Macaca mulatta: one gene and its partners. The protein of the gene in region 1 purifies or fractionates together with the protein of each later gene. This does not show direct contact. Links are inferred from orthologs where the notes say so. Each region holds a gene or a part of one and is shown in the gene's direction. Other genes may lie near its edges.

Region 1 (4,731 bases):
ACTGAGTTCAGGGGGCCTTCAGGAAGGTAAACAATAATACATTCATGTTATGGGAGGATGGGGCACCCCAGCTTCACAGGGATGGAAGCTCCTGTGCTTGGGACCCTTCCAGACCTCACCTATAAAGGAAAAGATACATAAATATCTTCATCTGGCTGTTCATTTACATCCTTTAAAATATCCTATATAACTGGTAAATGTTTCCCTGAGTTCTCTGTGCCACTCTGGGAAATTGAACCCCAGGGACTTGTGGGAACCCCGATTTATAACCAGTCTGTAAGAAACAGGCAAAACAACCTGGAACTTTCAATTGGCATTGAAAATGAGGGCGGGGCAGTTTTATGAAACTGAGCGCTGAACCTGTGTGTGATCCAATGCTCTCTCTCCAGGTAGATAGTATCAGAATCGAATTAGAGAACATCTAGCTGGAATCTGCTGCAGAATTGTTTGCTTGATGTGTGGGAAATTCTCCCTAGGCCTTGTGAGAGTATAGAGGGAGAAACTGAGTTTATTTTTTCTACTCCTTATCACAGTTTCATGGTTTAACTCCTACTGTTAAATAATAGGAATTTCTTTTTTTTTTTCTTTTCTTTTTTTTTTTTTTTTTTGAGACAGAGTCTCACTTTGTCGCCCTGGCTGGAGTGCAGTGGTGCGATCTCTGCTCACTGCAACCTCTGCCACCCGGATTCAAGCGATTCTCCTGCTTCAGCTCCCCGAGTAGCTGGGATTACAGGCACCTGCCACTGTGCCTGGCTAATTTTTATAGTTTTAGTAGAGATGGGGTTTCACCATCTTGGCCAGGCTAGTCTTGAACTCCTGACCTCGTGATCCTCCCAAAGTGCTGGGATTACAGGCGTGAGCCACTGAGTCTGGCCAATAGTAGGAATTTCTTCTTTTTTTTTTTTTGAGACGGGAGTCCCACTCTGTCGCCGAGGCTAGAGTGCAGTGGCGCAATCTCAGCTCACTGCAACCTCTGCCTTCCGGGTACACGCCCCGGCTAATTTTTTCTATTTTTAGTAGAGACAGGGTTTCACCGTGTTAGCGAGGATGGTCTCGATCTCCTGACCTTGTGATCTGCCCGCCTTGGCCTCCCAAAGTGCTGGGATTACAGGTGTGAACCATTGCGCCCGGCCAATAATAGGAATGTCTGTTCAGCTGTCTGAGGCTCTTATTTGTAGGGCACAGGATGGTCATTAATGAGGTATTTTTTTTTTCTTTTCTTTTTCTTTTTTTTTTTCTTTTTTTTTGCTTTGTGTTGCCTAGGCTGGAGTTCACTAGTGCAACCACAGCTCACTGTACCCTCAGCCACCCGGGCTTAAGAGATCCTTCCATCTCACTCCCGCTTCCCCGATAGTTGGGTAGGTGTGCACCATCATGCCAAGCTAGAAAAATTTTGTACAGACAGACAGGGGTCTCACTGTGTTGCTCAGACTGTTGTTGAATTCCTGGGCTCAAGTGATCCTCCCGCCTTGGCCCCCAAAGTGCTGGGATTACTGGTGTCAGTCACTGCACCAGGCCTGTTTTTTTAGATGGTCATTGGTAGCTCATGAATATTTGGCTGTAGTGCCAAGTGAATACAGGTGTTGTGGATGTGGTTTGTATCTGTATAGTTACATCATTTCTTTCTCTGGATTGGGCTCTTTGGATGTTACACATTATAAGACTATAGACATCAAATCATTTGGAGATCTGTTTTGGTCACATAGGCTGTTTGTTACCTTTATACAGTAGCCCTCATAATGCTGAAAGCAAAGCAAAGTTGCGTATCTAGGCAACCTATGCCCTGGAAATGAAGGGAGGTGTTCCTGGCCTCTGGTGTGGCTTCATAGTGTTAGGGGTGGTAGAGAATGGAACTAGAAGGAATCTACTCCTTACTATGTCATACTCTTCAGGGTTCCTTCCAGCCCTTGAAGTCTGTAAGTCCTGAAATGTTAGGATTGTGCAAGGAAGGCAGGGGCCTGGATTGGTACATGATACCTCACTGGGACCTCCTCCCAAGCACAGTGGTTACATACAGCCAGAACTCAGCAGCACTGGCATTCATGAGAGGTGTGAGAATGTGAGGATAAAGGATTGTTTGATCTGATTCTTCAGAGGAATTACTTGTTTGGAGATTTTTTTTTTTTTTTTAACATTGATGGTTTTGGTTCTTTAGGAAGAGTCCTGAAAGTAGGAAAGTTTACATGTGTGTAACTAAGTCATGAATTTAAACTTGATACCCTGCACTTTAAGGCTGCTGTGTGTCACCTCTAGTGAGCCTGATTTGTACCACATTTGGTCTGGTTTTGTTGTGCTAGACTAGAATCGACAAAGATGATTTTTATGAGAGTGCTTAGGCTCTTGTGCTGTACGGACAGTTTGGGGTCTTTGGATACATTCCAGTGGCTATCAGGAGTATCGTGTCCTACTGACAATTTGATTTTTGAGTTGAATGGATATGAATTAAGTAGTACCTGATTTCTGTTTGGCTTAATACATAATGAATTTTATTGTCTCGTGAATAAAACTGAACACTTCACGACTACATGATGGGGAAACATGTAGGGGGCTTTGTCCCTACTGAAATATTTTTCTTACAGTTGTTTTTGAATTTTATTTTAGGCAAAAGTCAACAACTCTAGCTTAATTGGAGTAGGCTACACTCAGACTCTGAGGCCTGGTAAGTATTCTTGATAAAGTAGGATTGTTTTGATATTAAAAAAATTAGTTTTCATTCTTCAGCTTATTTTTCAGACCTTTCAAGCACACAGAAGAGTTGAAAGAAGAGTACAATAAATACATGTTTACCTTTTGCCACAACTCTCTTTCTTTCCTTCCTTTCTTTTTGTTTCTTTTCCTTTCTTTCTTTCCCTCCCTCCGTTCCTTCCTTCCTTTCTCTTTCTTTCTCTCTCTCTCTCTCTAAAATAAAAGTAATTTTTATTTTGTTGATAAAAGTTCACTCATTGCTTTGGTTCTGTCTATAGTCTTGTTGACTTTATATAATATTTTGAAGCATGCTGTGTCTAGAGCAGCATTTCTCCAACTTCACAATGCACATGACTCATCTTGGAGTCTGGTTAAAGTACTGGGGACTTTCCCCCCTCCAAATAGGGATTTTCCTTCCCAAAGTTTATTTTGGCGATTTTGAAACCTAAAGAAAAGTTGGAAGAATGGTACAGTGAACATCATATACCCTTACCCTATGTTGACCAGTTATTAAAATTTACAGCATTTATGTCTCTGAAACTTCACATACTTTTTTTAAAAAACTGTATGTTTTGCAGACATACAGACACGGCAGCTCCTAGCATGTGTATCCTAAGAGTAAGACATTTTTCTTTATAAGCACAATACCATTATCGCATCTAAGAAAACTAACATTAATGTAATACCAAATATATATTCAGATTTACCCCGTCCCCAAATGTGTCTTTATTGTAGGTTTCCCTTTCTAGGATCTAATTATGATTATGTCTCTAGTCTCTCTTCATCTGGATAGTATACTCAACATTATTGTATATTCTAGAGCACTTTGAACTTGTTATTAAAACATTTCTCTGTGACTTGGTGCCTTACCTAGAATGGTAACCCAGTCCTTCTGGTGTCTCAGATACTTCCAAGCGCCCTCTGGTGGCCAGCACTAGTAGGTCAGCTGACAGGCTGAGGAAGTGACAGGCAGGCTTCTGGGGATGACTGTGAAAGAAGGCTCAGACTGAGTGAAGTGCCAGGTACATCACAGTGTTTTGTTTTTGTGTTTGTCTTAATAGGTGTGAAGCTTACACTCTCTGCTCTGGTAGACGGAAAGAGCATTAATGCTGGAGGTCACAAGCTTGGGCTCGCCCTGGAGTTGGAGGCTTAATCCAGCTGAAAGATACCTTTGGGAATGGATATCAGAAGATTTGGCCTTAATATATTTCCATTGTGACCAGCAGCAGGCTTTTTTTCCCCCAAGAAGATGATCAAAACAAAGAATGATCTCAACAAGAGCTGTATTTTAAGTATTTAGACAGTTCCTTGTTAGCTGGTTTCTAGTTGAATTGGTTATCTAGTTACCAATGCTGCAGTCCTGCAGTCACCTATACATTATTTAAATGTATTTAACTGTTAAATGCGCTACCCACCAATAATGAAATAGACCTTTATGAAAACTGTGCAATTGTGTGCATGTTTGTTTTTATGTTCCTTTAGAAAACATTGACTATTACCATTGAATGAGATGGATCAGTGGATATTGAGATGAGGTTAAAAATTTTGTTAAGTTCAGCCATTATTACTTTTGGTATCCCAGAACATGACAAATTATGAATAAAACAAGTATACATAATTAATGGCTCCAAGTATTTGCAGAGTTCCATGTTTGCCAGCTAGGGTCAAATCTCCGTGGTAGCTAGCCAGTATTTAATTTTTCCAGTGAGTATTTTGCTCTTTACTTAAATCTGTGCCACAGAATCTTCTGTGTCCCTAGAATAATTCCACGAGCTTTTTAAGACTACAGTAAGAGGATACATGCTTTTATACTCTTCAGTTTGTAAGTCTGTGCAGAATTGCCCTGCATAACTGAAAGGAAAAAGAAGGTGCTGAAAAGATACACAAACACACCATACCCCTGTGAGCTACTGCTAGGAAAATAAAGTAGGCCCTGGTTTGGTGCGATGGTGTTAGGCGTACAGAAGAGTAAGTTGTAGACAGTAAGGGTAACCTGTGGGACTCTGAGAGATCATTACTCATTTCCTTCTAGGCAGACATTGAAAG
Region 2 (6,051 bases), on another chromosome or scaffold:
GCTGCCACTGGGTCATAGTAATTCTGAAATCCAGCAAGGCACGTGATGCCAGTTCCTTGATTGAGTCCTCTACTGCTCCTTGGGAATGATTACCTGCAGCTCCTGGCTCTATCCTTCTGGCTCATGGGTTTCTTTTAAGTCGTCCTTTCTTTCCCATAGGAAATAGCCCATGTTTGCATCTGAATAGCCTTCTCAGAAGGCTTCTTAGAAGGCTGGGGCCCACATGTCCCATTTTATTTTTGTGCTCTGCCTTTTCTGGTATAATTGTCCCTTGCTATTTGCGGTGGATTGGTTCTAGGACTCAGATGCTCAAATCCTGCAGTCAGCCCTGCCAGACCTGGGGATAAGGACTACTGCATTCCCAGTTGCTACTTTATCTTCAAACCTAGCATTTTGATTGGCTACCGAATGGGGTGGAATTATCATAACTCTTGGCCTTTGAAACTATTCTCAGTTTTCATTCCCCTGAATACTTTGTAAATTCTACACATTGAGCACCTACTGTACCCTAACACTGTTTTAAGAATCAGGGATATCGCAGTGAATGAGATAGACAAAAATAGCTGCCTTATGGACCTGCCATTCTAGTGGGGAAGGCAGAAAATATGCAAATAAGTGAGTAATATAAGAGGAAAAACTTTGGGAGGCTGAGTCGGGAGGATTACTTGACACCAGGAGTTCAAGACCTTCTCTTTACAAAAAAAAAAAAAAAAAAAAAAAAAAATTAGCAAGCCATAGTGGTGTATGCCTGTGGCTACTCAGGAGGCTGAGACAGGAGGATCACTTGAGCCCAGAAGTTCAAGGCTGCAGTAGGCCCTGATTATGCCACTGCACTCCAGCACCGGCAACAGAGCAAGACCTTGTCTCAAAAAAAGAAAAAAAGAAAAGAAAAGAAAAAAAAAAAGGAGAAAAGCCGTAGGGAGATGGCAATTTTTGTGTTTATGTTGTGGTGACAGAGAGAGGGACTTCAGTTTTAAATAGGGAAGGCTATTTCACTGAAAAGGTCACTTTAAAGTCAAGACCAGAGGAAAGTGAGCGAGTGGCCAAGCAGATACCTGGAGGAAGAGCTTTCCAGGTAGAGAGAAGTACAACTGCAAAAGTCTGATGTAGATGTGTGCCTTCTCCTTTCTTTTTTATTTATCTTGGAAGAGACAGTCTTGTTATGTTGCCCAAGCTGGTCTCGAACTCCTGGGCACATGCAAAGTGAAAGCAGAGAAAAGTAGACTTACCCCAGAAGCTGATGGTCCTGCAGTGTGCAAGGCCATTTCAGAATACACATAGAGAAAACAGGAGAATAGGTAGCGAGGGTTTTGCGGAAAGAGCCAATTTTAGCTGAAAAAGTAGGGGAAACCCCAGACATTGTGCCATCTCAGGGTTGGGACTGCTTGCCTAGATTTTGAGGTTTTTTTTTTTTTTTTTTTTTTTCCCCAGACCCCTCAACTTCTGAGATCTCAATGGGAAGCTGCTGATCACCAGTTTTAGGTGTTTTTATCTATTGGGAGACTCTTTCCCTGGTTCTGACTGCAACCAATTATTATTTTAGAGAGATAGCTTAATCTGACCACCACGTCATGGTTGCCTCACATTGCTGGTGGGGGAGTGGCCCCACTCCTGCCCTGCTCAGGTCTAACTACTTACTTACTGTAACAATTGCAAGGTTTTTGGATGGAACAATTGAAAGAATGGAGTTTGCATGAACCAAATAAGAAAAGACTATTAGAGGGCATTGTTAAAGATGGAGACAAAAGTTCTGAGTGGATCCTGATGTGTTCAGATGGGGCTGGTGCTTGGGAGGCTGCTCTGTGCTTACAAGAAGAGTTCTACCAGGTCCATCTTTATCACATCTTCTTTAATACTAAGTTCAGAGAGGCTTTAGCTCATTTTCCATTTTCTCGTGCTGTCTCCTCTGCCAAAGTGTCTATTTCTCCTGTCTCTATTACTGAGTCACACAATTGCTGTAGTCATTTGCAGTCTACTAGAACGATAACACACATTGGCATCAGACAGACCTTGGTTCAAAACCCTGCTCCACCAGTTTCTGTGTTGAGCTAGACCAAGTGACCTGATATGTTCGGTCTCAGTTCCTTATTTGTAAAATGGTGATAATAATTTTTGGTTAGGTAGTTAAAGTAAGGATAAATGATGCCTTCCGAAGAAGGACACAATTGGAATGGCCAGTTTACCCCTTGACCTCTCTTCGGTGGCATTCTTTATTCTGGAGCAAGGAGGGATGGCTGAGGGAATCTGTCTGTGGGTCCAACATGGCGCCGTCCTGCTCCTTGTACAAGCCTCAAAGATGGGGACAACCGTTTGGGAGCAGACATGTTTGTAGCACGTGATCCAGGCTCTGTCCCAAGGCAGCCGGAACGTGACTCAAGGTTGAGGCGGGGCTCCTCCTCCGCACCCCGGCGTCGAGCGTCTCGTGACAGGTACTTCCGCTCGGGGCGGCGGCAGTGGCGGAAGTGGGAGCGGGCCTGGAGTCTTGGCCATAAAGCCTGAGGCGGCGGCAGCGGCGGAGTTGGCGGCTTGGAGAGCTCAGCAGAGTTCCCTGGAACCAGAACTTGGACCTCCCCTCTTCTGTCCTCCGTTGAGTCTCCTCCTCGGCGGGAGCCCTCGCGACGCGCCCGGCCCAGAGCCCCCAGCGCAGAGGCCGCGGTAAGCAGCGGGCCCAGCCCGGCCGGCGGCCTGGCCCCATCCCCCTCCTCAACTCCTCGGTCGCCAGGGCCTCGCGTCCTCCCTGTCCTCCTGGCAGGCTCCAGGCCCAGCCCTGGCCTCGCGGGCAAACTCGGCATCGCTCAGGCCCACGAAGCAGGCCAGGACCCCACCCGGGTTGGAGAGGTCGGAGGTCGTCGGGCGTGACCTCTGGCCGGGTTGCCGGCCCCGGCCGCCGGTCTCGGACGCTCTGTTTACTGTTGGCGTCGATCTCAGAGACCCAAGAGGGTTCATTGACTTGGACTGCCCTGCGCCGCGGCAGGACGCGCTAGGCGGTGGAGTTATTTAGCGTGGCGAGCAGGAGGGTGTCAGAGCCCACGCCGCCCGCCGCCGTGCCCACCTGGCGGGCATGGGTCACAGGCGCTGGGGGCCGAGCCGCGTTCCCTTCCGGCTCTTCAGTTGAACAGCCTGACCCTGTTAGTGGGAGAGGTTCCCTGACGGCAACTGAGTCAAGGCGTGAGTCAGGTCACGTGCGCTGGGATCGCCTCAACACTTGTGTACATTGAGGCGCCTCTGGCGCTGGGAGACAGGGAGCTTTTTGTCCTAGGCATGTTACGGTAAATCCTGAGAGAAGTTTTTCAACTTAGTCGGGGAAAGATGGTAGTTGGATGTAGAGTTGTGTTTCCATTCGGACCGTGTTGGGGGCCTCTTTCTGCATTCATTTTACGCTTGATACCTAATGGGTCATAAGGGGAATATTGAGAATACTGACAGCAAATATTTGAGCGTTTGTTATATGCTAGGCAGCGTGGCAAGACCTTTTAACAGATCATTATGTTTAGTTCTTTGAACAACCCTCTAAAGTACCACTGTTGTGCCCACTTAACACAGTGGGAAATTGAACAGAGAGGCTAAACCATTTGACCAAGGTCACACAGCTAAGTTACGAAGCAAAGATGCAAGCCCAGGCAGTCAGACTCCAGAGCACTTTATTCAATTTGTAGGTTATACTGCTTTCACGTGCCCCTAAAGCTTGTGGTTTATCTTTTGCCACCTGGTATCTGTACCTCACTGCCTTCCACCACCTCCTTTCTTTCTGTTGATGTCGTTTGAAAGTCTTTCTGGTAGCATCAGTTCTCTCTTAAAGCCATAAGAAATGCCGTTTGCGACTTATCACACATATTGTAGTGTAGTTGAATTAGGAGCTCTTGAATACTGGCGGGGTACTTAACTGAGGTTTGAAAAATTTTGCAGGTAGGCCTGGCAAAGCTGCCTAGCGAACCTTTCTTACAACCTTAGTTGATGGCTGTCCAGCCAGTTGGTTCTTCCCTATTCAAAATACTGCATCTTTGGTTTCCTAAAGAACAGGCTCTTGTCTCTTTCTTGTGACTTAAGCAGCTGATGAGGCACATGATTTCTCATCCATGGATTAATAAAGTCTCCTCTTAGTGTGTTTCTCTCTTCAAACCTGGGAAGGTTTGTTCAGATTTGGATTTAAGAACTGGAAGGTGAGTTAGGAGTGCTTCTCCTGAAGGGACTGGCTAAGTTAAAGCTTAGCGTTCACAATCCTGTTGTATTCAAATTTGTCTTTTTTTTTTTTTTTTTTACCTTTGCTACCCAGCCTAAAATATTTAAGTGAGTAATAAGTACTGTAGCTTTATATAATGTTTGAGTTTAGAGGAGAGTAATGATAGGCACCTTTTTATTCATTCATGAAGTATTTTGAGTATCCATTGAGTATCAGCAATGTATCAGGCGTTGTGGGATGTTGACTCAGGGAGATAGGCATGGTTCCTGTCCTCAGGGAATTTTTAAAAGGTGAATGATCTTGGCCAGAAATTCTATTGTGGAATGATTTGGTGGTAGAACTTGAGGCTTTTTGGAAAGAGTTATTTCTCATTTCTGCTGATGAATCCGTAGTAATCCAAAGGATGGTGTTCTGGCTAACTTTAAGGCTTTGTTAATTTTAACAACAGCATTTGTATGCTCTTCAGAGAGTGTAGAAGATAATATTACAGTTTCTAATTTATCACATCTTTTAAAGAGTAACCTTCAACACTCTACTTGTTTCTCCTTTTGCTCTGGTGGCATTTGTTTTATTTTATTTATTTTTTGACACGGAGTTTCTCTCTTGTTGCCCAGGCTGGAGTGCAATAGCGCGATCTCAGCTCACTGCAACCTCTGCCTCCCGGGTTCAAGCCATTCTCCTGCCTCAGCCTCCCGAGTGGCTGGGATTACAGGCATGTGCCACCATGCCCGGCTAATTTTGTATTTTTAATAGAGACAGGGTTTCTCCATGTTGGTCAGGCTGGTCTCGAACTCCCTACCTCAGGTGATCTGCCTGCCTTGGCCTCCCAAAGTACTGGGATTACAGGCATGAGCCACTGCGTCCGGCCGACTCTAGTGGCATTTTTTTGGTTCACTCGAGAAGTAGTCCATGTCACTACCATTACCTTGCACTGCAGTGTCTTTGAGCAAAGGTACATTTGGACATTTGGCATACTGGATTTTTTTCTTCAGCTGGCAAGAAAGTTTAATGTAGCACTGATATTGTGTCGGCCATAGTTTCAGTACCATTCTACATAGAAAAGCTGTGCTACCCTATCTCCCACAAACTTTCTAGGTTCGCTTCAAGAGAAGATTTGGATTTTGCATTTGTGGTAGAACTGCATGAGTAAACAGAGGGTGGAATGTAGAAGATACTCTAAAAATAGTTTTATTAGTATATCCTTCTAGGTAGTTAGCAACCACGTGGGGCAATTTTTTTTTTCGTTTTTGTTTTTGTTTTTGTTTTTGTTTTTGTTTTGAGATGGAGTCTCGCTCTGTCACCCAGGCTGGAGTGCAGTGGCGCGATCTCGGCTCACTGCAAGCTCTACCTCCCGGGTTCACGCCATTCTCCCGCCTCAGCCTCCGAGTAGCTGGGACTACAGGCGCCCGCCACCACGCCCGGCTAGTTTTTTGTATTTTTAGTAGAGACGGGGTTTCACCATGTTAGCCAGGATGGTCTCGATCTCCTGACCTCGTGATCCACCCGCCTCGGCCTCCCAAAGTGCTGGGATTACAGGCTTGAGCCACCGTGCCCGGCCTTTTTTTCGTATTTTTTTTGATGCCAACTGTGTCTAAGCTCACAAAACCTGTATCAGAGAACAACGCTTTATAGTAAAGTGTGGCTTTGAATCAGTTTTCTGACCCCACTGCCAAGTGAAGCCAAAAAATTTTGGTTATTTGATTAGCTTTTAATACGTCTTCAAAGAGTTCTTTGCTAATAACATTTTTGCTCTTACTTTGGCATTAGCTTTTGTATACAAAGATGCAGCAAACACAGACCACACAAATACGACGGTTGTCTTATGCACATTGCTCTCTGGCATTTGACACAAATATTTTAGTTTTTCCCAT
Region 3 (6,274 bases), on another chromosome or scaffold:
AGGTCTGGAGTTTGAGACCAGCCTGGTCAACATGGTGAAACCCCGTCTCTACTAAAAATACAAAAACTAACTGGGCGTGGTAGGGGCATCTGTAATCCCAGCTATGGAGGTGGAGGTTGGAGTGAGCCAAGATCGTGCCACTGCACTCCAGCCTGGGGCACACAGCGAGACTGTCTCAAAAAAAAAAAAAAAAAAGAAGAGGAAGAGATACCAGAGATCCTTCTCCTTCCATGTGCAGGCACAGAGAAGAGATAGTGACATAGAGAAGACATGGTGAGAAAGCAGCCATTTACAAGCCAGGAAGAGAGGCCTTACTATAACTAATTGTGATGGCACTTTTCCCCCCTTAAATCAAACTGTGTAGCCTAGAAACTGATGGCAGCTTAATCTTGGACTTCTAGTCTCCAGAACTGTGAAAAAATAAATCTCTACTGTTTAAGCCACCTAGTTTGTGGTATTTTGTTATGGCAGCCCTAGCAGACTAATACAGTATCCAATAAATTCTTGAATGCGTGCTAAAATGGGATTCTAGGCACTCGATTTTAAACACTCTTTTCTGGATTTTATTTCAATTTGGAAATAGGATATTTTCCAGATGTACTAAATCTAATTTTTGTAATGAAAATATAAGAATTGCAAAAATTTAAAACACTTTAGGCCGGGCGTGGTGCCTCATGCCGGTAATCCCAACACTTTGGGAGGATGAGGCAGGAACATTATTTGGTGAGACACTGTCTTACAAAATTTCTTTTAAAAAATTACCCGGGCGTGGTGACACGTGCCTGTAGTCCTTGCTACAGGGAGGCTGAGGCAGTATTCAAGAATACCACTACCTTCAAACCGTTCAAAGTACAAAGCTTACTACAGATAGGTCAATTTTTCAGTATCTTGGGTTAGTTAATGCAATACATACTTAAGATCATGATTTTGGAATTCAACTTTGTAACTAAACAGAAGCACACTTATGACTGAATTGGAACAGATAACTTTAATGGCAACTTGGTCAAAACCAGATCCCTATTCTTTAATTCACGGGTTAATAATTAGCCCTAGATCTCTGATATTTGAACATAAAAAGGCAGAACCTTTAAATATAACATCTTTTCTAATGGGCAATGACACTAGAGCAGGTACTAGAATTAATCCTCCCTCCAAGCTTCCATACGTTCTGTCCCACAAAAATAGTAAATTGTACCAAGTGTTTGTTTTATCAACTAAATAACTCTACTTCACTTTTTTCTCTCCCACAAAAACTCTACTTAGAAAAGTACGAGACGAATGGCAGAAGCTGGAAACTGAGTTCAGGGAACTGCTACAAGATTGTTACAATTCTTATCCACGGATCCCGAGCTTTACCACCGCGGATTACCCAGAGCTTCCCACTCAAGGCCTGTGAGCCGCGGAGAGAACTATGATCCCCCTCCTCCCTCCTCCTACAGAGCAGCCTTGCTCCCTAAGGCCAAACCCATGCCCCCCATGACCTCCAATGGCTCTACAAAAGAGCTTTGAATTGCCCGCTTTTTCCAAAGCTGGTTCATACTCCCTCGCAAAGCAGGGAATAGGGTCTGGGGACAAAAGGAGGGACATGCCTGCCACATGAGGAAAACCCCATCACCTGGAACTCGGCGAACTCCTCACAGTTCACACCGCCACTGGGCGCCGCCATATTGGACAAACACGAGGACCCCGCTGCAGGCCAATCACCGCGGAGCAAAGGTGACCGCGGAGCCGCCTGACAAAAAATATAGCATGAGGGGAATCCTTAGGAAAGCTGAGTGCAAGACTTGACTTCTACGTGGTCCGCATCCACCTCGAAACCTGTCACCCTGCTGTCCTAACCCCTTTAACATGCCCTCCTGGAACTGGGCCAGATGCATGGATCAAAGATTGTCAGAACTTGAAGGGGCTGTTTACTCCAATCTCATCTTCACAAAAGGGAAACAATTTCCTTGTCGTTCCCCTACCAGGTCGTTGAAAGAAATCTAGGCAAGTGAGGCCTAATACCTCTCACTCCAGTGCCTATCTTCCTCCCTCGACCCTGGAGCAGAAGGGTCTTTGTTCAGAATTTGGGACCACTAAGAAACGTCAAAGAAAAAACGGCATTTCTGGCAGAGTGGGTGGGTATGAGTAAGGTGTTTAGGATGGAGATGATCAAATGTTTTTAGAAAATAGGTAAATAGAAAACAAATTGAAAACATACACGTTAATTTCTCAGATTTGCCTGAGGGATGCTCCAAAGCCAAAAGGTCACTGAGCACTGAGTCTAATTACGTGTTTTCTGATAAAAGCGTATGTTCATTGAAAACACTGGAAGAGCGGCATACTGGAATACTGGTTTATCTGGTGTATTTCGGGCGTTTACAGCTCACGAAAGTTGCACTTTTCCCTTCTATTTCACACAGGTCCTTCCATGGATGCATATCCGCTAGGGCAAGAACCCACGGCGCCACACTCCACAAGACCATTTCCAAAACTGGCTCGGAACGCGGCGCCAGGGGCACTAGGCTGGCGCCGCCGGTCTCCAGCGCGTCGCGCACGTCCTGCACGCCCCGCACTGGCGCATGCCGGTCCACAGCGTCGCGCACGCCCCACCCCCTGCGCCGCCTGCGTCCTTCCCTCTCCAGCACTGGGTGACATTGAGCTCACTAGCGCCGCCGTCCCCGGCGAAGTTCTGCGCTGGTCGGCGGAGTAGTAGGTGGCCATGGGGACCCTCCGCGGTCTGCTCCTGGCAGCGGGTGAGACGCCGGTCGGGCTATGGGAGGTAGGGCAGCTGGCCCGGCCGCTGCGGGTGGGGGAATCCTGAAGCCTTCCTAGGCCCCAGAGTGGCTCCATTCCATGACGCACTTTCTCGGTTGCTCGGAATCCTGCCTCCTTAGTGTCAGTGTGGGAGAGAACTAGGTGAGCAGCTACTGATAGACATTGGAGACTGCCCGTGAGTTACCCTCATCTCCATCCACTCAGCTCCCACCAATTTAACTGCCCACGTGCCTACCCTTCTCCCCACCCCAGTCCTCAGACTCCCCTGAGCTCAGTCTGTGAAACACCTACTATCCCTAGACTTCCCTTTTACCCATTCATTCAGCTTTCCACCCTAACCACCCCTATCTGTTGCTCTACTTGAGTCTTCCCTCTTCCCTGCCCCTTCCTCTCTGGAGTTTATCCCAGAAAACCTCCAGTCTGAAGTTTCCCCACTCATTAAATGTCTGATTAGGCCAAGGATTTAGGTCTTACAGATTAATAATAATTATTTTCTTAAAATGGAGGATACATTACTTTTAAACACTTATACAATTAATTGATTCGAATTTCTTGGAGGAAAGTGTGTAATTGAAGGATCTGCAGTTTGTTTTGGTGGTAGACATTTGTGTGATGACTGTTTTGGACTTAGGTAATGAAAACTCTTGGGAGGACCAGCAGAGCCTTGGCATAGTAGGGGTTGAGAAATCAGAGGGCTTGCATTTTGCCTCTTTTCTAGGTACCAGAGATCTTTTGTTCAATGGCGCTACATTATTAAAAAGTTGTTAATTCAATTTTTAAAGGAAAAATAGCCCCAAACTTGGCTATTCAAATAATATAAATGTATATTGTAAATGTAAATGAAATAATGCAAAAAAAAAAGTGAATGTTGCATAGTTTCACAAGTTTGGTATATAACCCTCCCCACCCCAAGGTTATCCTTTACACAGCTTATCTGATGTTCCAGTGGAGAATGGACTGGAAAACATGTCTCAAACTAAGGAGTATTATTATATTTGCTTCCTTTAAAAGCAAACACTTTCTCCACTAAAATCCTCAGTACTATGATTGATTTTATTGATTTTGTCAGTTTTGTTGAACTAATTCACCTAAAATATCTTCTGTACATCATATTAACCATTATAAAGCTTTTCAACAAGGCAAGTGAAAGGATCGTTGCTCTGTAAAAAAGTTAAAATGGACTGCAGGAAAAGAACTTTGACATCTTGGAACTAATACTGAGTGTATTGTAAGTAGTTCACCTTCTTGCTTTGATAGTATATTTATGCATCTTGAAAATTCCAAAGCCTCTCTGCAAACTTCTGATATGTGAAAACTTCACTATTGACCACTTAACCAAAGCAGAATTCCTTGAGTGGTTTAAGAACAAGTTATTTTACTTCAGATATAAAATGTTTAATAGCACACTAAGGATGTTATATGAGCAGCTCTCTCCATATGATCTTCCACGAATATCTGATGCTTTGTGAGCAACTCCAGAACAACCTACTGCCTTTCACCCACTTCCTAGCTAAACACTTTCATATACATTATTTTGTTGGATGGATTTCTCATAGCAGCCCTCTCAGGTGAGTCTTACTCCTCCCACACTTTATAAGTGAAGAAACATAGGTTAGAGATGACTTGTCCAGGATCACTTTGCCAGCAAATGTTAGAGCCAGGATAGGAGTCGGTACCCTCTAATTCTGGAATTTTTGTGCTTTTTGCTGTTGTTCAAACTGTTCATTCAGGGGCTGTGCGTGTATGAATTTGTCATGACTAATTGGGTCTCAATCTGAAATGAAAGAGTCATGAAATGCAGATTTAGTTCTGAAATGCAAGTACATCTTCATGTGCAAATGGCTTTTCAAGAAAGAAGACTGATTTAATAAGCAGCCTTAGCCAAAGGAATGATAGATCAAATAGAAATGTAGGCCCAGTGTGGTGGCTCACGCCTGCCATCCCAGCACTTTGGGAGGCTGATACCGGAGGATTGCTTGAGACCAGGAGTTTGAGACCAACCTGGCTAACTTAGCAAGAGCCTGTCTCTCCGAAAAGCTTTTACAAATCAGCTGGGCATGGTGGCTCAAACCCGTGGTCTCAGCTACTCAGGAAGCTGAGGCAAGAAGATCACTTGAGCCCAGAAGTTTGAGGCTGCATTGGGCTATAATACAGTCATGCTACCACACTCCAGTCTGGGCAACAGAGTGAGACCCTGTCTCTGGGGAAAAAAAAAAAAAAGCATAATCTAGGCGTCCCTTATTTATCCAGAATATTTGGAATAAGATTCTCTACATAAGTGAAATTTCAGATGATCAAAACTTAACCTTATAAATGACGGACCTTTACTTTTGTTTCTGTTGGCAATCTTTGGTATACTCCCTTAGCAAACAATATAGCAAACATAATATAGGCTTTTATGAGCTCGAATTTGTTATTTTGTAGATGTAGTTGTAGATACAGATCAGGGTTGTTAAGTTGTGGTACTGGACACTTCCATGTTTGAGAGGTCCTGTGAACTTCTCAAATTTTTATGATTGTGTACCATTTTTGAGAGAGAGGGTCCATAACTTGTATCTGCTACTCAGAGCAGTTCATGCTCTTTAAGTTAAAAAGCACTGATACAGATGATTAGGAACTAAATGGCCATTTACCCACACTATGCTGGGTTTCATGAGGGTAAACACTAGATCTGTTTTGTTTTTACTCAATCCTTACCACTTACTGGTGTTCAGCTCATAGTAGACAGGCAATGCATATTTTTTGGACGAAGGACGCTAGGACATATCTTGGAACATGCTGCAAATATAAGGTGAGTTTTCACACCTCTTTTCTCCTGAAAGAATAAAATAGATATAACTTTTAGGATATTGTATCTTTCTACAGAATGATTATTAGTTCAAAGGAATAGAATGACCTTACAAGAATGTTTCTTCTTGAAAGAAAGTTTTGCTGCCCTAAACTCTGTTGACTGGTCAGATTTGAAAATGAATTTATTATCGTCATTATTGTTACCAATGTAATGGACTATGGGCTGCCTTCCTTTTAGTTTAACTGACATTTCAGAGCATTAGAGTAGAGAGATATCTTAGAATTCAGGTAATCTAGTCCTCTAATTTTTACAGATGAGGAAACTTAAGGGCCAAGAAGGGAATCGGCTTGCTAAGGATCACACAGGTACAGACCTGGGACATAGCCAATATCCCCTGGCTCCCATTCTGATTTTATTTCTATCACATTCTGCTACCTTATTGTTCTGTTTGTTCTTGCTAACCAACCTTAAATGAGAACATACCCATTTTAACTACCCCCACCTTTGGCTTTGCTCATTGCTCCTCTCCAGGTCTTACCAAGTATTTATTGAGTACACAATGAATGCCTTGTATGTATATTGTGAAGGCTCTAAAATGAATGGACTGCACCACTCCTATGGCTGATTTATTGCAGTGAACAAACAAACATATAATACACCAGAAAAACCTATACAAAACAGTATATATATAAAGCTTTAGATTACAGACCAGATTATAAGTGCTGC

The links. The genes of interacting proteins can lie anywhere in the genome.
Region 2: the proteins of VDAC2 (region 1) and RAB7A purify together in Homo sapiens (affinity purification with mass spectrometry; 3 studies listed by BioGRID and IntAct, with this or other methods). This does not show direct contact. The link is inferred for Macaca mulatta from reciprocal best matches to the Homo sapiens genes VDAC2 and RAB7A.
Region 3: the proteins of VDAC2 (region 1) and FAM162A fractionate together in Homo sapiens (co-fractionation; 3 studies listed by BioGRID and IntAct, with this or other methods). This does not show direct contact. The link is inferred for Macaca mulatta from reciprocal best matches to the Homo sapiens genes VDAC2 and FAM162A.

Annotation. Positions count from the first base shown.
Region 1 is NC_133414.1:74,375,339-74,380,069, reverse strand, and holds the end of VDAC2 (non-selective voltage-gated ion channel VDAC2), read left to right. Parts: intron 1-2,463; exon of another isoform or gene 2,464-2,601; coding exon 2,602-2,659; exon of another isoform or gene 2,660-3,627; coding exon of another isoform or gene 3,628-3,672; intron 3,673-3,746; coding exon 3,747-3,838; 3' UTR 3,839-4,231; downstream 4,232-4,731. UniProt on the Homo sapiens protein: Non-selective voltage-gated ion channel that mediates the transport of anions and cations through the mitochondrion outer membrane and plasma membrane.
Region 2 is NC_133407.1:155,227,426-155,233,476, reverse strand, and holds the start of RAB7A (ras-related protein Rab-7a), read left to right. Parts: upstream 1-2,478; 5' UTR 2,479-2,655; intron 2,656-6,051.
Region 3 is NC_133407.1:161,379,741-161,386,014, reverse strand, and holds the start of FAM162A (protein FAM162A), read left to right. Parts: upstream 1-2,701; coding exon 2,702-2,735; exon of another isoform or gene 2,736-2,754; coding exon of another isoform or gene 2,755-2,761; intron 2,762-5,861; coding exon of another isoform or gene 5,862-5,913; intron 5,914-6,274. Other genes in the region: protein MIX23, read right to left, coding at 1,616-1,666. UniProt on the Homo sapiens protein: Proposed to be involved in regulation of apoptosis; the exact mechanism may differ between cell types/tissues.